Linked DNA regions of Drosophila melanogaster. The protein of the gene in region 4 interacts with the protein of the main gene of each other region in a pairwise test. Each region holds a gene or a part of one and is shown on either strand. Other genes may lie near its edges. The genes, in order: Taf12L, tbrd-3, tbrd-1 and tbrd-2.

The links.
Region 1: the proteins of tbrd-2 (region 4) and Taf12L interact in a two-hybrid assay, tested with the Drosophila melanogaster proteins (one study listed by BioGRID).
Region 2: the proteins of tbrd-2 (region 4) and tbrd-3 interact in a two-hybrid assay, tested with the Drosophila melanogaster proteins (one study listed by BioGRID).
Region 3: the proteins of tbrd-2 (region 4) and tbrd-1 interact in a two-hybrid assay, tested with the Drosophila melanogaster proteins (4 studies listed by BioGRID).

What each region holds. Positions count from the first base shown.
Region 1 is NT_033779.5:4,699,938-4,704,157, forward strand, and holds Taf12L (TBP-associated factor 30kD subunit alpha-2), read right to left. Parts: upstream 1,549-4,220; 5' UTR 1,532-1,548; coding exon 1,340-1,531; intron 1,280-1,339; coding exon 1,055-1,279; 3' UTR 898-1,054; downstream 1-897.
Region 2 is NT_033778.4:23,324,934-23,329,358, forward strand, and holds tbrd-3 (testis-specifically expressed bromodomain containing protein-3), read right to left. Parts: upstream 2,649-4,425; 5' UTR 2,624-2,648; coding exon 1,817-2,623; 3' UTR 1,806-1,816; downstream 1-1,805. Other genes in the region: CG9861 (uncharacterized protein), read left to right, coding at 44-127, 200-271, 328-1,470, 1,529-1,780.
Region 3 is NT_033777.3:23,891,097-23,896,671, forward strand, and holds tbrd-1 (testis-specifically expressed bromodomain containing protein-1), read right to left. Parts: upstream 2,465-5,575; 5' UTR 2,255-2,464; intron 2,194-2,254; 5' UTR 2,157-2,193; coding exon 615-2,156; 3' UTR 501-614; downstream 1-500. Other genes in the region: sba (six-banded), read right to left, coding at 3,912-4,401, 5,113-5,512.
Region 4 is NT_033778.4:19,257,160-19,263,183, forward strand, and holds tbrd-2 (testis-specifically expressed bromodomain containing protein-2), read left to right. Parts: upstream 1-2,749; 5' UTR 2,750-2,905; coding exon 2,906-2,908; intron 2,909-2,962; coding exon 2,963-4,984; 3' UTR 4,985-5,135; downstream 5,136-6,024.

The DNA.
Region 1 (4,220 bases), on a different chromosome or scaffold from region 4:
TTATGGCACTTTAACTTTATGTTGAGTAATTCCCGGCTGAAGGGCGAGAGTCAAGTCCTCGGGAAAGTGTGGCCGAGACCATGATGACCGCTTTGCAGGGGCTATTGAATGTGAGTCCGGCTCTTGACAGCGGCCATTGAATTTATTAATTGCTTAATCATGATGATCCGGTTTGCAATTTATCACCAGGCGTGCACCTTTTCTCATTGATACCTCAATGGGTATTCACAATTATGTTCAATAAAATTCTTTCGTCAGCTAACAAATTTGTATTAAACACGAGTTTTGTGTATTCTTTAAATTCACGATGAAACCATATTTTGGCAAAACACGTTTTTCAGTCTAAAAGGAGGCCTTTTTTTTATCATAAAACTTAAAATAATTGTCCAAATATGGAATGCCATACCTCGTTGAGCTTGTATTTTATCCCCAAATCGATTGGCATTCAAACTTGGCAATTTTAATTTTTTGCCAATTTTTGCAAAATTTGATGATGGTATAAAAAATGCAAAAACTGACCCAAAAATAAAATTTTTTTTATTGACCAAAAAGTAATAGCAATTGTTGCTATTGGTAATTAGGTGCAGAAAACAGTTATTCCTGTACTTATCTGACTATTTTTAGGCGAGTTGTGAAGAAAATACCACTCTTAAATATTGCGTTTTTGCCAAAAGAGACCTTTTTGATTTTTCGCCCAAATATATTCAGTTTTTTCATCATAAATCTTAAAACAATTGTCCAAATATGGAATGCCATACCTCGTTTAGCTTGTATTTTATCCCCAAATCAATTGGCATTCCAATTTGGAAATTTTAATTTTTTGCCAATTTTTGCAAATTTTGATGATGGTACCCCTTATAAAAAATGCAAAACTGACCCAAAAATAAAATTTTTTTTATTGACCAAAAAGTAATTGCACTGGTTAACATTGGTAATTAGGTGCAGAAAACAATTATTCTTGTTGCCTTTCTGACAGTTTTAAACCAAGTTATTCATACATTTTATTCATTCCACAATTTTCAAATTCTACATTATTTTTCCCTTTATTGGACATTTATTCAATTGGGAACTCCATGTTGAACTCCCGCTTGAGGATGAACTTCAGGTCCAGCACGCTAACGTCGCTCTTTCGATACTTGGCCAACTTAACTATGCGCATGGATATGTCGTTAACAAAGGCATCGGCTATTCTGGCCATCATATCGCAACCTTGATCGTCCAGCGATGAATTTGCATCGATTTTCTGCACAAATTGCAGCATGTTGGTCTTGGAGATAATCTGATAGGGGGAAAAGTACGGATCGATTAATGCGTCCTAATTGGGGAAGTCGTTACGTACATCGTAGCTTCCGCCAGGGACAGACTGGCTCTCAATTACGCTAGCTGGCTCCTTCTCCACGGAGCTGGTGTCTATGCTGGTGTCACTGGAGCGGCTCGAGGATCTGGTCGAAGAGTGGCTCTCGTTATCCGACGATTTATCGCTGTCATCGAAATTGAGGGCAAAGGACCAAGGTTCCATGTTACTATCCATGATTCAATTAATTTAATGTCCTTTCCCGTTAATGCCACATGCACTAGGTAAGAAAGTGGCTTGAACTGGTTGGAAATTATAGGAACATAAGGTGTGAGCTAATGCATACTTTTCGGGTCCTGTGTCTTTCTTCAAAAAGCAAAAAGTTTTTTCTTGGTGTCGTGGGACATTACACTTTCTCTCAATTTTTTACCCGGCAATAGTTTGGATCGGGAAAACCCAGCTGGGCTTTGCAGCCTCAACTCTTCGCCCTTGGCCTGCCATAAATAACCAGTTTAAGTCGCAAGCTCTGCAGCTGAAAACGATTTCCATTGTTGCCGCAGCGTTTACCCTTTCCGCTGCGGCTTTTCCTTCACGGTTTTTCCGCCGTCTTCTGCTTTTGATTTATGTTCCGACTGGGCTGTGCGCTTTTCACTTCTCATGCGCCAGCGCCGTCTAAATAAATATCAAAAAGCAACAAATTGTGGCCGTGCCGTAAACGACCTTTGCCCCGGAATAAGAAGCCAGGCCAGGCGACAAGCGCGTCGTCATGGCTTAATTTTATGCCAGGTGAGTACTGGCAAGGCCAGTCAAAACAACAGCACACACGTGCCCAGGTGTCCTGCCAGCCTATTATGCCGTTTGTTCTTTTTGCAAACCCTTAATGCACAGTGGGAATTTCGCTTCAGCGAAGCACCGCGCAAATTTAAGGCCACCTTGGGAGCTTCGGGTTTCAGAATTCAGGCTGCAACTTAAGCCAACTCGGAAAACTGATTTAAACGTGCGGCTATAATTTATATGCCTAGTGAGGGGCTTAAACGTAAATAATCTTAATTTAAACACCATTGAAAAAGGAAGCTCTTCTTAATATTCACATCTACTTCTAATGGAAAAAACATGATCTTGTATATTGTAATTAATAATAACTAATATTCAAATTTAAGATGCTTAAACCGGTGCCACAGTGCCCGTTTTTGTCATTCTAAAATGGTGTGCCATGTGCCTTTGCTGCGCTCCTGCCACTTTGGAGGTGCTCCTCAGTGTCCTCGGCTTAATAAAGTCGCCTACTTAAAGCGAGCGACAATGACATTGTGCGTATGTTGCCAGTCGTCGTCGGTGGAAAGGGATTGGTATGATGGGGTGGCCAGGTCGCCCCTTCGGCCATGTGTCACACATCCGCATCCGGTGTTTGGCATTGGCATTAGGCTTCCTCTTTCTACCTCCCACCGCCGACTGTCGTTTGTCGTTTCCGGCATGCGACTCTTTTATATTGCCGCTTCTATTTGCTGTGTGCACTTTTCTGCCCCTGTCCGCTCATTTCTGCCTTCTCTGGCTGATTTCTGTTTCATATTTTGCTCGCTGGCCTTATGCATAGTGTAAGGCAGCAAAAAACGGCCGACGTTTAGCTTTAAGTGTGCTGAGTGCCATAAATTTCACTTTGTCAGGGTCTTTAATCGCCCAAGCCCCAATCAGGCAGTCATTGTGGGGACTTGAAGAGGACTTGGCTGGTTCGGAAAGGTTAATTGTCATCTAAGTCTTATGGCGAATATATATATTTTACACATTTTCTTTATTCTAAATTTAATCAACATGCTTGTTCCCTTCCTTTAATAAAACCACGACTCAAAAAGAAGTTGTTTCAGCCTTCATGTTGCGTTCTAATGGCACATATCATATCCGTAACGAGAATGCCAGTCAGTGCCTGTATATGAAGTGCTAATTTGCTGTCGTGCTCACATAAAAAATGACAGCCTTAGTTGCCAAAATGTTTGAATTAATCACACATTTGTCAAAATTATTCAAATGTCTTTGCGGCGCGAGAGAAAGTGAATGAGTGTGTGTGTGGGCATGAATAGTTAATACGCATGTGGGGGCTACGCCCGGTTCCGCCCCCTCAGTTTTAGCCGCAGAATGGTGTCTGTGTAATAAGGCTAATGAGTTTCTGCCATGTCTGGCAGAGTGTCGAGACTGAGGGGCTAATTCTCAGCCAGTCAGCATGTTCTATGCACTCGCAGTTACTGGCTGGCTGCCATTTGGAATGGTTTTATTTCACATGATTATGACATTCTGTTGTTCAGGATTTCCCACACACAAATGAAACAGCCACGCATTCTTAGGCCCCGTTTTATTAACGGAGGATGTACTTTTTCGCCTCCGCAGTGGCTGTGCCAGATATTGCGTATACGCCACAGTGGCAGATGCGAAATTAATTTAAATCGGGCCCTCAGCGCACAGACTATTAAACAGAACTCGATCTGCAACAGATTTGCGTTAATGTTTCATAAATGCAAAAAGCAACACATTTAAATTCCTTCTCCATTTAAGTTTTTAATTACACTTAGCCGGCGAAGCGCACGGCAGCAACAGGAATGAAAATGGAAATGAAAACGAAAATGGGCAACAGACGACGGGACGACGGTGTTGACGGGCATGAGATGAAATCCTTTAATAGGCGTCGCGCCATTTTGTCGCCGGCATCGCTGCTTAATCCTTTCGCGGCATATTTTCCAGCGCGCCGTGACTTAATGAGGCGCTTTTCCATGCCGAGCACGCGGCTCATCCTTCCCCCTCCACGCCCGATGCCAAACAATGCGGATCCTTCCGGGAGAAGTGCGATTCTAAGCCAACCAACATACACCTCTTATCAGTTGCATTTACGGTGGAGCAGGCGTTAATGTGGCATCGCATTTAGTTGGTCACGCCGGATGCC
Region 2 (4,425 bases), 4.1 Mb from region 4:
AATTATCAAATACATACATTCTATACCTAATATCCAATTAAAGAAAAAAAAGGATGGCACAGTAGCCCGTACCAGTGGAATCGATACTTGTCGCGGAAAAAGGCTGGAGGGAGGTGCAGAGAAGACGGTATGTTTGAAATTACCAAATATATTTACATTTTCCATACCCACTTTTATTTTTCTATTGAACAAAATTAAGGATTCCACAGTACCCCAACCGCCTGCAGAAAAGGGCCGCGGAAAGAGGCTAAAGGGTGGTGGAGGAAAGCCGGTGAGTGGAAAATTACCAAATAGATTAACTTTCATTACAATCTTTCTGTATTGAAGAAAAAAGACAAGAAGGGGAAAAAGGAGAAAAAGGCTAAAGTAGTGGAACCGGAACCAGAAAATCCGAAGAAGCCGAAGGTATCGCCCTGGAAGCCACCGCCTCGCAAACTCGTTAGCGGCCCCTTCCGTATCCACAACATCGACTTCAACGAGTACACACAGGTGTGTACGCAAGTAGTTGGTCCTTCGGAGTGCGAGCTTCCTCCGGCTCCCAAAAAGTCGGCCGTATCTTTTATCCTGGCCAAGGGAAAGATCGAAGGGAATGCACACAAGTGCGATATGCGCATGCCCAATAACAGGCATGTGAAAACTAGGTTCTTCCGGGGACCCCGTTCGAACAAGCCGTACCAGTTCAAATACCATCGGGTCTTCCAATCCGGCCAACCGAAACCCTTTGATCTCAGTCATATTATGGCCAAGTCTTTTGTGAAGGCGCTGGATCAGTCGGATGGGGACGAAGCCGATCCGTGTTACTTTAGGGAGCTTTTGTCGGAGATGGTGATTGAGGACGAGGCGCCTCCGGATTCCAAGTCTGAAGGCCTTCCCGAAACCGAGCCGGAGAAGAAATCGAAGCAGGACAGCCAGCCCCCGTTGGAAATCTTTAGTGACCTGGATCAGACTAGAATCTCCGACAGTCGAGAGACCTTGGATCGTTCGAGCAACCACAGTGGTCGCAGCCATGTGAACTACAAGGCGGAGATCGTGGATGCAGTAGTGAGATGTGCCAAGGCGGTTTGGCAGAAGCGTACCCTAATAAAGCGGGCCGAGATGGAGCGCATGGGCAGAATGACGCCGCGCAAGGCACTGACCCATAAGGATACGGAATCATTCGATCCGAACGATGCCGCCCAGATGGACAAGTTGCTAAAGGATGGCATGCGAGTACTCAGGAAGGAGCCCCGCTATGTGCTGGCCTGTCTGCCAGACGCCCACAAGCTGCCAGTGCTGCGGGAGTGGGTCAAGAGGAGGTACGGCAAAACCTACAGCCAGAAGGAGCTCGAGGAGAGTATAGCCGAGTCGAGCAGGATATTCGAGCTGGTCACCATCCTCCAGAGCAGTCCCGCCAGTCCCGATCTTATGGGCATTGATCGCCTGCCCAGATCCAAGGAGAACTTTAACTTCTATAAGCAGATTAAGAATACGGTATATATATATATATATATGTACATATATTTTACTATACTAAAACTATATTTTTCAGGCTGCCCTGGCTAAGCAAACATATCACGATCAGTTGAATGCCCGCTACCTAAGCATCGTGAGCTCCGCCTGGTACGCCATGGGCAACTATCTGGTGCCCGGAGGACCTCCTCGGAAGACCTTTTTCGCTTACATAGCTTCCAATCCGCTGGAGATCATGCGTAACAAGACGTGGAATGGGGATTTCCGGAACTACCGCTCCATGCGCGACAAGAGAAAGGAGCAGGAGAAGCTTTTGGGCAAAAAGGACTAGATTACAATAAATTAAAACTCTTTTTCAATCTGAAACTCAATTATATTTGGGCTTGGTGCGGGCCACTCTTTTGCCGGTGAACCCCTTGCTGGCCAAATAATCACGGATGCCGCGTTTGGTGTGCACCTTCAGTTTGCAGATGTCGAACTCCAGCTCCTTGTTGCAGTACTCGGCGCCCTCCATGCGTTGAATGAAATGGATGACGTGGAGCAGCACCTCGCCGTCCAGCTGCTGAATCTTGGCGTGCAGATCAAGGTCCTCCTCGGTTGTAAAGGGCTCCTGCTGCTCCGAAGTTTCCAAAGTTGCCGGCGGAGTCCAATCGGGGGTCGGAGTACATTCGGTGGTTGGAGTACATGAGGGGGGCGCACCCATTATGGAGGGGGACACCTCCGAGCCGTTCACCTCGTCCTCCGGCGATGATGAGTCCGATTCATCCGAGGAGCTCTCTTCCTCGGCACGCACTTTACTGCCGCTGGAGCAGATGTAGAGCTGCACCTGGGAGTACATCTCCTCAAAGATGATCTGCAGCTGTTTGGCCATGTGGTAGCACAGGTGATCGGGATTCGTGTACAGATAGGTGTTGTAGAAAATCAGCCTTATGTCTTTGGCGAAATCCGCGGCACTGAGATAGCAACCCGTATTCAAACGATGCCTCACGGTGGACAGATCCATGGGTTCCCGGACAATCTCATGGTAATCGTGGAGGCCCAGCAGTTGCGGATCCAGTGGCTCGTAGAAAACCCAAGCAATATTCTTATAGGTACTGGAAAACAACCTTTTAATAATCACCTTGCAGGCATTAATTTCCGGCGAGGACCGTTCAGTTTCTTGTTTTGCAGCCATTTCAGAAAAATATCTTCGATATCGACTATCGGAAAATTCTATTATAATTTCTATCGTTTTGACAACTTGAACGCAATACAACTGACAATATTCACACTCCGGGTTGCCCTGTACGATGATATTTTTAGCTTATGAAAACTTTTAGGATTGCCACCTCAATCCGAGCAGAAAAGTCAATCCACAAATGCGGTTTGGGGCAACAAACAAATTCAGTTAATTATGCAAGTGGCTCCGGCCAGGAAAGTATTTCCATACATTTTGTGTGGGAGTGCGGTCCTTTGTGGGAATGCTCTGCCTCAATCCTGAAGCTATGATGGTTAATCTAATTCCGAGACCCGTACAAACAGTCCTTTTTTCGGTAAACGTATTTAAAATCCCCATCGAGCTGTGGGGGCGAAAATATTTATGGTCAACCGCTGACGTTTGCTATTTTAGAGTGCCGAAATATTTCGTTAGCATAAAAGTTTTGTTAGGACACACAATATACATCATTTTTGGGCAAATATTTGCAGGGCTTTCATTTGGGCAGTCAACAAGTTGGGTTTACAAAAGTTAAATCGAAATCCTGTTTAAAGTCACTCTGTTAAGTTGGCTTCCACAGGCATGAGGGGAAATCCTGTTCCTGTGGCTCTCTCCCTCTGTTAGCTTGCGATCCACAACTGAGAGCAACCGATTTACGGAGACCTTCATTTTCTCGCTGTTAACTTACCTGCCACAAAATGTTGCAAATTGGGTGGCAATCGGACCAGGTCTTGGCCACATCTTGGGGCGCCTCTTCAGTCTGCTGTTGGGCCTTTGGGGGAATGGTCCTGCGAATGGGTCAATTGGGATTGCACTCCACTGACCCACTTGCGAATGGGGATTCACCTCTGGGCATCATCTGGTTCGGATGTTGACCTTCAACCCCAAGTTTGGAGACTTTACACATAGAGTTTGCGAAACCGAAAGAAAAAGAGATTAATCTTCAAAGTATATTTAAAATATATATAATCAAAAATACCAAATAACAATATAGATAAAGTTATACCCTATATCTGTCATATATCCACTTTTTCGCAAGATCATTCGCTTTGGAGGCATCTAGACCTAGAATAAATTGATATGAGTGATATTTTTATGCATATGTGTAGCTGAGAGCCCTTAGCACACGATTCCCTTTGATCTTGTCGATATGTCAGCGGGGCAGAACTTTACTTCGCATTTCACGGCAAACATTCCGCTCTCTATTGCCGATTTCCAGATAAAAATCTTGTTCGTTTTTCACATAAGTAAAACTGCGACACTCAATCAGTTGGCAGATGAAATTATACACCCAGAGACTGGGCCAGGTGCTAAAAGGATCGCCAGGGGGACGCAAAGGAAACGTGTGAGGCTGTCAGTGGCAAGCACATCCCTTTCCCCCAAACCCACTTGCCTCGCACCTGCGAACGAATCCCTACCTGGCCATCCCGCATCCCATTGGAACCGGGCAATATATGGATAAATATAAAAAAAAGGGCGGCAATATGAAAGCCCTGCAGAAATGGAAAGAAGGGAAGAACCAGCAGACGAGGACGCCGAGGAGATATGAGAAATGTACATTTGGACAGGCTACACACGCTGCCCTCGCACGGCACAGCGATGGAGAGGGGGCTATTCGAGCGAAAGAGACGGCGACAGCCAGTCAGATGTCAAACATTCTTTTGACACTTTGTCATAGCATCTCCCGGTGACACTTGTCAGCAGTCGGATTTCGCATTTCGGTGGAATGGCTGTGCCGCAGTTGATTTATACTGCCATGCATATGATATATATGTGTGTAA
Region 3 (5,575 bases), on a different chromosome or scaffold from region 4:
TGTTATAGGGCTGCCAGATTGCAAGACGACTGGTCACCTTAGCTCTGCGTAGTTGCAATGTCAACCGAGAGGTGGCACCTTGGTGCTTGACTGTTTTATTTTGAATTTAAAAACAATAGAAAATGGTATAGTCGAGTTCCCCGACTATCAGATACCCGTTACTCAGCTAGTGGGAATGCCAAAGGGAACATTTCATCATTTTTCTGGGATATCGATAGATACTGGGGAATAAAATAGTCGTGACCGTTTTGGGCGTATTGTAGCAAAAGGAGGCGCGTGGCTAGTGTTTTTTTTTGCACGAAGAAAAATCTAAGCATTTTTCAAAAGTGTGGGCGTGGCAAAATGAGATCAATACAGACGGACATGGCCAGATCGACTCGGCTATTGATCCTGATCAAAAATGTATAGACAAATGTATATGATCGCAATCGCTTCCTTCTGCCTGTTCCATACTTTTCAACGCATCTAGTAATACAGGTATAATTAAACTATGAGAATGTCGGTAGCTCGTAATTAGAATCATATTTTAGGCTAATAACAATTCTTTATGAATAATAATTATAATAATTTGCATTTTCATTTTTTTTCATTTCCGTGGTAGAATTCTACACACTTTAATCGCTATCATAAGTTTGGTCATCCAGCGGCTCCGTACCAGGTGAAAATTCTTGTACATCCTGGGGCTCCATTTTGTACACTCGCTGTTCTTGCACAAACAGGGACTCCGTTTTAATAATAAATGGCTTTGGAACCCATCCTTTGAAATTCTTATTAGCGTTTTCTTGTTTAATGAGCAGGTTTTGTGAGTCACGAAAATCTTGTTCCCTGCTGGCCACCAGTTGACGCCCCTTTTCCTTGGCCGTGGCAATTAACTCCCTGTACTTGGGCAGCCTTTTCTCAAAGATCTCATTGGTTTTCTTCACCGAAACCTTGACCAATCCATCTTCCGGAAAGCAACGCAATGCGTTCTGGAACATCTTTCGTACAGAGCTCACGAATCCATCAAAGCTCTCAAAGTTATCGGAGTCCAAGCGCTCCTGTAGTATCTTCCAATCGAGTTTCTCTTCGCGATCGTGGTCGTAGTCCGGATTCTGGGAGTACCTTCGCCAGTAGTCAGCCTGATTAAATGCCCATGTAACCTGCTTGCGCTTTCGCTTTACCATCGACTTCAGAAGATGATCTGAGTGGCTTTTTTCAATCATTCGGTCGAGAGACTTGTAGCAGATGATAATGGGTGGATTGGGAGCCGGAGGAGGCGATGAAGCTGGAGATTCAACTGGTGCTGGGGTTGGCCAAGGCAAAGTCATGGGTTCCATTGGAGGGGACGGTAAGGGTGCTGCCAAGGAATCCAAGGGACGATAGGAAATTGGCTCTGAGGGCGGTGGATCCATTGCTTCATTTGTCTCCCAATTATTCTTGAATATCGGATTCATCATTGATGACATTGGATGCATAGATTGCATGGGATTCACCAAGGAATCGGGCATAAAAGATGGGATCAAGCTGGGACCCACGAAATTTCGGAATGAAGGATTAAATGACGACACCCCGCCAGGCATCGGTGGGGGACAGAGCCATGAGGAACTACTCGAGAGCCACTGTCTAGAATAATTGTTAGATGCTCGAGGTGCTGAGAACGAAGTCGAGGCTTGATCCAATGATTCAGTAGCCTTTCTCTTGCGCTTTTCCGACTTCGGCTTTAGTTCCACCTCCGTGCTCAAATCAATGGACTCCATTCGCATGTAAAAGGCCTCCATTAGAAGCTTCCCTGCCTGATAAACCGGTGAGCCCTCCAAATTGTACAACAAGCAGTTATCGAATATCAGCTTGAAATCCTCCAGAGCCTCGCTCGCCTGCCAGTAGTATTTGTTGTGCAGTCGCTTCCTAATTGTACTCAAGTCCATCGGATGCTTGACCACCGCATGGTAGTCGGGCACACCCAGGCTCACAGAATCGACGGGATGGCGAAAGTGATACGAGAAGCGATTGCGCCATAAGCAATTCAGCACGGACTTGAGCTCTTCTAGGATGTTTGTCCTTCGCCCAGGACGATTCGGTGGCGGAATCACCGGCGGTTGCACGATGCCATTCACCGGCTGCAGATACGGCTCATTGCGCGGCGGAGGCTGGTTGCTATTCGACTGCAGTTCATTCATTGCTGGTTTGTAAGGTCACCCAACTCCTAATATTAGCCTAAAGCAGTTTTTTTTTTTTTTGGTATTTAGGAAGAATGTGAACTATTTCAAATGCTTACTTTTTGAACAACTCAAAATTCACAGCTCCTTTCGGCTCGGAATACAGAACTTTACTGAACTTCTTTTCGTCAAACACTAATAATTACCTCTTGACACTAGAGTCTATGGTGATGTGATTTACATTTATTGTATGTAAGTCTCCGTTGGGAGTAGTAGAAAATAAAAAATGACCAGACGGATTTTGTCACTGACTTTTTTGTGCTACGTTGGGTCTGTCAAAATTTGTGACATTCACAGTGAGCTTACATTCGATAGCTAGCAATCGTCTAGTATGAGTGATAATACTCCTTTCTAAGGTGCAACTTCAGGGACCTTGGTAGTTGTTGCCACCGCAGATATGCCAAAAAAAAGTTTCCCATGGTTGCTCGGCTGGATCATCACAGCTCTAGTGGGAATCAAACGAAGTGGTTTTGTGGTGGCACCTTGATAAGTTATCAGGTGGTTTTAACGGCTACTCACTGCTTCTACTCAGATGTGTAAGTACAACCAAAGACACTAGAATAATTCTATTCTATTATTCTAGTGTCTTTGGTACAACTTACCAACTTACAAGTTACGGTTGGATGCAAACGAGGATGTGCCGGAAGGCTATAAGGCGGAGTCCCAGTTGTGTGTTGGATCTCCGGACCATAAGGACACATGCAATGGTGACTCGGGAGGTCCTCTGCTGGTTCGTCACATCGGGATCGGATGCTAGTATCAAGTCATGGGAATAACTTCAGTGGGAATCGCGTGTGGAACTCCGAACATTCCCAGTTTGTATACAAGGGTGTATTTCTTTAGAGATTGGGTCAAGCGGGCCATGAATCAAAGAGTTATCTTGTTTTTTAAATTTTTATTTGCTCCGTGTGTTTCCGCTAAGTGTGATTTCATTTTTGTTTTACAATTATAATTTTACAATAGTTTCAACTAAATAAATAATAACAATTTATAAATATAATTTTTTTCCACCCTTCCTAATTTTCTCATGATTTTTACCTTTTTGTGTTTGACATAAATAATTTGTTCTTCTAGAGTTTAAAAAACAATTTGTGCAATCACAATAAATGAAAATCAGTAGCTGTTTTTGATTTGATATCATTTGCTTGACAAGGCAAATGTAATTGTTGTGGATGTTCTTTAAACTTAGTGGCTAAGTATCAGCTTAGGTTACCTATTTATACAAATAATCGGTAGGTCTATAAATTGCAACGAAAACAAAACCTATAAAAACCAAGGATCTATATGCAATAAATAAATACTTAATACGAAACATCTTGGTAGCTTTTGGTGCTTACTATATACAAAACAACGCAAATTTGCGCCGAGGCGCTGTCTATGAAGCCAAAAACCTATCGCTAATTGTTAGAACTGCTCTTTGTAACTTGATTTTCATTAACATCATCTTGCTGTTTTATTGTCTATTTCGAAAGTGTGGCGCGCGCCGCCCAGCGACGCAACTAAGCGGGGAGTCTGTCAAAGAATACAAAACAACAAACTCCAAAGCTGAGGCCTGACACCTAACACTAAACTCTATACTCGTATCGTCACATATGTATGGATAACTCTATATATATGGCCTGGCGGTATGTATCCTCCTGCTGCCCACTACTTATGCCCGATAACGAGGGTGTAGCTGGCTGTGCTCACTGTCGACGATAACGTCGACAGCGCTGGTCATTTGGCCAGCTTCAGGATCTCGGAACGGGCCGATGTTGTCGCTGTCCCGGTTCCAGTTGAAGCTGCTGCAGCTCCAGCTGCTGCTATCGTCCCAATGTTGCCTGTGCCCGTTGTGGCCACCGGTGGAGCCGGAGCAATGCGTATGGGCTTGGCTCGCTGCTGATTGAAGAGGCCACTCAATGTGGCCGCCGTACTGGTGGTCAGCACCATGCTGGCCCCACTTGTGTTGGCCTGGCGCTTGCTCCGCGCGAGTCCATTTATTTTGTTGTTCGTTGAAGAGGGCGATTGCTGCTGCTGTTGCTGCTGCTGCTGCTGCTGATACTGCTGTTGTCCGCCAATTACAGCTGGTCCTGCTGATGCGGGAACAGCAGAGATGGTTGCGGATGACGAGGATGTGGCTGCGGGTGTCGAGGAGGCTGAAATGTTATCCAACTCAGTCATTGCTTCTTGTATGGCCCGCTCGAGCTGCGAGTTCAGTTTGCGGCTCCTTTGTGGTCGCATGGTGAGTGTGTATATGTGGTTGAGTTTTTGGTTGGTTTCAGGTTGGGTTCGGATTTGGGTTTTTCATTTTCGAGTGGGGTTGTTGTTGGTCATGACGATGATGATGATTATGCATACACACACAGAGTTATACACGTTGGGGTTGGCGGGGCATGGTTTAATTTTTGGATTTGGTTCAGCGCATTTAAAAAAAAAGAAACAAGAATATTAATTAGCAAATTAAAAGTCAAATTGTAAACAATGATTAAACTAATTAATAATGCATTTAAATGCCGATTTATCGCTTAATTGCATAGTTAATAATATAAAGTGTCCAATTTTCTAAATATATGTAGCTACGGTTGTAAGGCTTAATAAAGACTGCAAAAAATAAACTAAAAAGTTATCTAGAAGAAATGAAAATATTTTGTATACAAAAATAAACAAAACAAAAATTGTAACGTTTGCTTTCATACAATATGCAAGAATAAACTACAAAGTTAAGATAAATACGCATTACTTCAAGATAGGAAAATTTTATAAATTTAAATTCAACAAATATTTTTCAAAATCGTACAAAAACTAACTACAGAGCTGGTCTGGAGTTCACCTAAAGCCGAAGGTTTCCTGAAATGCTGCCTGTTTTAAATATGAACTTGAATAAATATTTTCCCCTCCTGATCTCTTCCAGAAATTCCCACCCTTAGTCGATGCTCACTTTCTCGTATCCTTCTGGGCCTTGTGATGTGCTTCCAGACCCTCGGAGAGACTCTGCAATGAGTTGACCGGAATTAGCTCGGAGGTCGAACGACCGCCGCCGCCGAACCACTGAACCCAGACGTGGTCGAATTGCTGCGACGGCGTGCACACTCCGTCTGGCATCTTGACAATCTTTCCGGGCCAGGCGGGATGGCCCCGAGCTGGACCCCATATCAGTTCCCCAATGGCAAAGGATCGTGGTGGCAGCGGGAAACTTTTATCAGACGCCGAGGGCGCCGCACGCGCTGCCCCTCGTTGCGGTCGGCGCGAACGTTTCGTGGGCGTCCTGACCGTCGTCTTCTCGACTGTTGGTTGAGCGGTTGGAACTGATGAAAGCAGCTGCGTTGTGGTGGGCGACTCTACGAAAGGCACACACACACACTCATAGAAACTAGGACTACGAATTTGGTTACTCGGGGGCA
Region 4 (6,024 bases):
CTGATAGGACCAGCATGGTCATTCGAAAAGGTAAACAACCCTTTTCCCGGCAAGGAGTCGCAAGGAGTTGTCCACCGCTGACCCTCATACGCCACTGGATAATAATTAATGTCGAATAATTGGCGGAAATTTGTTTGCCATTTAATTGTTGGACTTTCAGATACGCGGCACACTTTCCCCCAACCCCTTTGCATTTCCAATTTATTTTCACAATTTCTCAATCAATTCCCTTTTATTGACCAAGATGCGGGCGCAGCCAGTTAAATTGGTGAATTGCAATTGCAACATTTCGTCGTCTTCTGGTTGTTCGACTTTCCCACTTTTCCGGCGGGTCATTGACTCCCCCCATTCATTTGCTTCCCTGTTTTTCGGGAGCGGCGCGAATAAAATAAGCGAGGGCATAGCTTTTCCGCCATTCCCGTTCCCATTCCCATTCCCAACGGAAATCCATAAATAGTGCGTGTGTGGGTGCGCCCTTTTTTCACCCAAACACCCAGACGTAAAAGAAAGCAGGGGAAAACCAAAGGAATCCCAAAAAAAACCTGCATCTTTTGCGCCGCGATTACCATCGCCGATCGCCATTGTCCTTTGGTCAGGATTCGCGGCGTTCCCACCGAAATGTATTTTCATTGTCTTTTTTTTATATCAAAATCGAAATCAAGAGAAAAAAGTCAGGGTCGCAACAATAGGGTCCACAAAAGTCAGAAATCGCTTAAGGTTAACACATCGCAAACAATGCCGAATGAAATCGGGGAGCGGGACAAGTGTCGCGACCACGACGAGGGTTAAGAAAATGGGAAACCTGTTTGTATCATCTTGTAACTTGTATCTCCGCTCTGGACAGCCTGTACCTGGACCTGGACCTGCTGTTTCCATACCGAGCCCTATCCTAATTGAGGGTTGGTTGGGGGCATTGAGACTACGAGTTTCCACGCTCTCCACGGATGCTGAGTCAGCGGCAATTGCTAAAAAAATAAATATAAAATCGGACGGAAAGGGAAGGGAAGGGAGAAGGGAGAATGGTGAATCGCCGAGGGATCGGAATCGGATTCGTCGGGATCCTGAGAGCTGCAAGATCGCGTAAGCACCGGGCATCGAACAATTAACAACTGCAGGTCTGCAGGTGCCGAAGACAAACAGCAAAAGTCACATACTCCAAAACACAGGCGGTGCACAATGGCCACAGAAAGTCAGTAAAAAAACATTAGCCAAAGGCAGGGGGCGAAGAGGAAAACGTAGGAAAACCAAGGAAAATGCTAGCCGAGCGGTGGCGGGGGAAAAGGTCCCAGGGAAAACACGCACACACAAAAGAGGATAACTCGGCGACGGGACATGCGAGTGCACATTTTCGTCTATAAAATTTATTCGCATTAATCGCCGTCAGAGATAAAATTAACGAAAGAATGGCCAAGGACGTGGACGTTTGCCGGGGTGAGAGGGCTAAGGGCTCAGTGGTCAGGGGTCGGGGATCTGGGATCGGAGCTGGGACTCAAAGTCCCGGGATGATAACGCAATATTGACACCTTGGCCCAGGCAGGTAGAACCTGCGATAGCCGGGCATTCTGCGTCTCCAGCGATTCCGTGAGTGGTCCTTTCTGTGAGTGCCATTGCCTAAAGAGCAACAAATTTGCAGCACGAAAAGTCCTTAGTCAAGGATATAGGACGACAATCGCAGGACTGTACTGCGAACACTGTGAAACATAGAAGCATATGATATTTAGGAATATTATATAATAATATCGTAATATCTACGATGGGAATTAGTTTGTATAATTTTGCAATTAATTTTGCCCATATTCAAGTTCATAATTTTTACGACTCCTTGTTAATTTGCATTATCGATTGGGATTACAGTGATGACCTCCATTTTGTACGATTTTTCCGGAGTGTGCCCCGTGTCTATTTCCGTAGTGGGCCTGTCCCACCGCGGTGGTTCGCAAATGGTTGCGGAGTCCTTCCTGTCCTCCAGTGGGTGCCTGGTTGGGTGGGTGGTTTGGCTGGTTGGGTGGCTCGTATGCCTAGACAAGCAGCACCGCAAAGTGGAATGAAGCGTATGCGTGTGTAATTAAGTGCGCAAAAAGACGCAGGAGGCTGTCGTGGTGGGCGGCGGTGAGGGGCGTGGCCGTATATCTGTATTTATGGGACACACTTACATATGTATGCAAATAGGAAAAGCGTGTTGTTGTTGCTGTACTCCTTGAAGGTTGTCGGTGGTGGGATGTGCCGATGGGTGGTGGGGTGATAAAAATGTTGATGTAAATTGCAAAAAGCAGTTTTTATGTCCCATTGCCACATTTTCCAACCGGGAGGTGGGGTACAAAACGCTGAAAGCCTCTGAAGTGGTGCAAATTATTATAAATATTCAGTGGATGGGGCCGGTCGGGTGTGGTGGTGGGTGGTATGGGTGGTTGGATGTTTGCCTCCATTCCCTTTGATGTGCCATTGTTTGCTTTAGTTTCGGTGTCTTTCTGATCAACCAGCCTATAATTGGTGCACTGCTGCTTATCGAGGGCTTAAGAATAGGCAGGATTTTAAAATAAACGAATGTTCTAATAGTGACTTTCACTTTTGCAAAATCCTAGGGGTTGCCGCATATTTAAATGCAATGTCTTGGCATCCCTGACTAGAACTTTCGAAACTTTCATGCTAGTGATTTCTAAATGGCAGTAGGCTGTGCAATTACTTCACTTGTCAAAATAGGACAGCTGAGCGGTGATATGTGTTTTTCCATCACAAAAATTTGTTCCTGAAAGCGGACGGTCGAACGGCAAAAGTGTTCCCAAAACTCAATCGTAATCGTAGTCAAATTCGAGTTTATATTTGTGTAAAATTGAAAGAGACACGTTTTCAAAAATCGAAACAAACGAACAACCAGTAACCAGTAACTGAAAAATATATCTCTAGCATGGTGAGTTCGTAAGCTATTCACTGCGCGAATTTCTACAAATCATTCTATTGGCAGGCATCTTGCAAGCCGCTTTCCGTAAAACTAAAACTCCCAAATCGTGTCCAACCCGAGTTTATACCGCATCCCGGAATGGCGGGTCGTTATACCAATAAGTTGCATTACTTCAAGAAGCATTTGCTCGACGAGGCTCGCAAGAAGAAGTATGCCTTGGACTTCTTGGAGCCCGTGGACACGGAGGCTCTGATGGTGCCCACATACTACACGGTTATCCATCGTCCCATGGATATCGGTACCATTGTGAAAAGAGTTCAGAACAACTACTATAAATCTGTCAATGAAGCGATTGCCGATTTCAAGCAAATTATTAGCAATTGCTTCCTATTCAATCGATCCGGCGATGTCGTTTACCGCAAGGGCCAGATGCTGGAGAAGTTCTTTCACAAGAAACTCCGAGGCATGCCGTCTGGTCCAGAGGTGCCCTGCAATAGGGATCCCAAGGCGGTGGGCAGGCCTAGGACCAATGCTCCTAGTTCCGCGCAGACGGAACGCAAGTGCCGGGAATTATTGAAGAAGTTGCAGAGCATCACCAATCAGACAGATGCCATGACGCGCAATTTCTTCAGTAACAAGTGGGATTCGTTGCAAAAGAAAGTTGATCGCCAGTACTTCAAGTCTGTCAATGAATTTTGCTTGCATGTGGATGGCTGCTTTAGAAAGTACCACGAACCGGCTAAAATCCTCTACGAAAGAGTCTTTAATCAGCCGGCGGCTTGGTGTACTTCCATGAATGGAAACTCATCGCTGGAATCTGCTTTGAATGCCGCAGATCTAAATGAACTACTGGCTGCCGCCAAGTTAACGGTAAATAGCTTGATGCAGTGCGTCCAAATGCCCGGTTCCGGGGAACCTCTGACAGCCAAGAGTTTGGTGGAGACTTTCTGTGACACCTTAAACAAGATGATAAACAAAATGGAGGCAGGTCAACGAAATTCTCCAAACCCATCATCTAGCAAACGACAGAAGATGAGCCCCGAGCAGGAAACGGATTTGGTCCAAGGCGAATTTAAGCCAGCTATGGAGTTGTTAAGTGGAAATGAAATAGATAACCTCATGGCAGTTAGCATTGAATCCTCAGATGATGAAGCTATCGATGCCTCAATGCGTATCACTGACGCGGATCGATGTGCCACACAGAAATTATTTGCCAAGCTTCCGACAAACGCCATGAAGGAGATAATTCACATGGTCCAGCAAATCGAAGGATTTTCCTCAGAGAACTGTGGAGATCTGAGCTTCGATGTCAAAGGTCTCGCCACGGATACTATGATCATGATGAAAAGTGCCGTCACCAAGGCAACTAGGGCCCATAGCAAGCTGAAGCTCAAGGACATGCAGCCTTCGGAAAAGGAAGGACTTCAGCGGGCACTGCAGTCGCAGCTGGTGAACATTACACGGATGCTCAACAAAAATCGTCGCCGATGTGGTCCCTTGATCAATTTCAGGAATAAAAACAACACTGCCAATAACGTGGTGCGTAAGAGAGCAACTGCTCCGCTAACCGCCAAATTGAAGCCGCTACAGGCTAATGTAATGGCTCCACAATTGGGAGCAGGTGTTGTTGAGACTCACAATCTGAGCGATACCAGCGACGATGACGTCTCCGCTCCGGTAAAACTGTCGGCTATTGGTGGCACTCCAATGAGGAATCTCCCAATAAATAGTAATCCTTTGCAAATGCAACCCATCAGATCCCCCCCCAAGTTGCCACACGTTGTCGAACTCCAGATGAGCAGCAGCAGCAGCAGCGAGTCGGAAATGAAATCCAAGTCCGGCAGACTTTCTAGGTCCAGGTCCAGGTCCATGTCCGACACCAAGTTGAGACCCAGGTCAAACTCCAGCGCCAGCTCTAGATCTAACTCTAGTTCTAGCTCTGGCTCCAACGCTGGCTCCAGCTCAGGGTCGCGCTCCAGATCAAGCTCCAGTTCCAGTTCATCTTCGAACAACAGCTCCGAGTCCAACGATTCCTCTGACGTTGAAGTGGTCCCCAATGTACCCGAAGGACAGCTGAGGGCCTAATCCTCATAAAGAAGTCTTATGAATTCTTGCATTTTATGTATATGTAAAAAAAAGGGGGGTTTCACTACAAATATCCCAAATATAAGAAAATAAAAACTGTAAACACCTATATTACACATTCATGTGTACATATATGGTTGGACAAGAAACTAAAAAAAATTAATATGTTTGTAATTCATTATTTCCTAAGAGCTTGGGAAATTGCGATCAGAGATTTAGCATCTCCAATCTCTACTGTCTTTGCAACGATCACGTAGACCAGCAAAATTTTCACGAAAAATTATGCAAATTTCCGAACTTTCTCACGATCGCAGCCAAAAAAGGATAACGATGCTCGCAGTACCTGACACCCAGCAGTCAAATTAGAGCGGAGATCACGCAGATCCTGTATCTCGCGGCGGAAGGAGTTTTTCACAGCCAAGGAAATTTGCATAAGATTTTCACTTGGCGAATATAAAGGGAAGGGCGAGGATGCACTCTCATTTGCATAAGGAAACTCGCATTGCGAAACTGCCAAAAGAACTCGGATGCAAACGAAAGTGAAAATGGGATGGAAAAAGGGAAATGCCACAGAGACAGGGGTTAATTACGGGCACAGTGGACGGCGCCTTGTTCACAGCATGCCGACACGCTCGCACACCTGAGTCCTGCGGCCCGGCCCGAGTCCTTCGTCCTGCGTCCTGCGTGCTGGCAGCAGGGGGTTGAAAAGGGACGGCACTATGGCAATAGCGTCGCAGCTCATTTGCATAAGGTCCACACACGAGATGTGCATGCAATTTACTTGCCCAAAAATTATGTAAATCACTCGTGCAAAAAGGAGACTTTCTCACGCTCCTCGCACAACTCCTTCGGCAATGTCCTGATCTTGGAGGCATCGCGGTCCTGGGTGATCTGGCATTTCGGGGTGCGGTGTTTGGGTTTCTGCACACCGGGCAACAAATCAATTTTGATCGATTTTAATTTGGTCCTCGATTGATTTGGTCATTTGCATATTCGGGCGATCCCTGTTTTCGTCCCGATTATTATGCAAATTCTACACC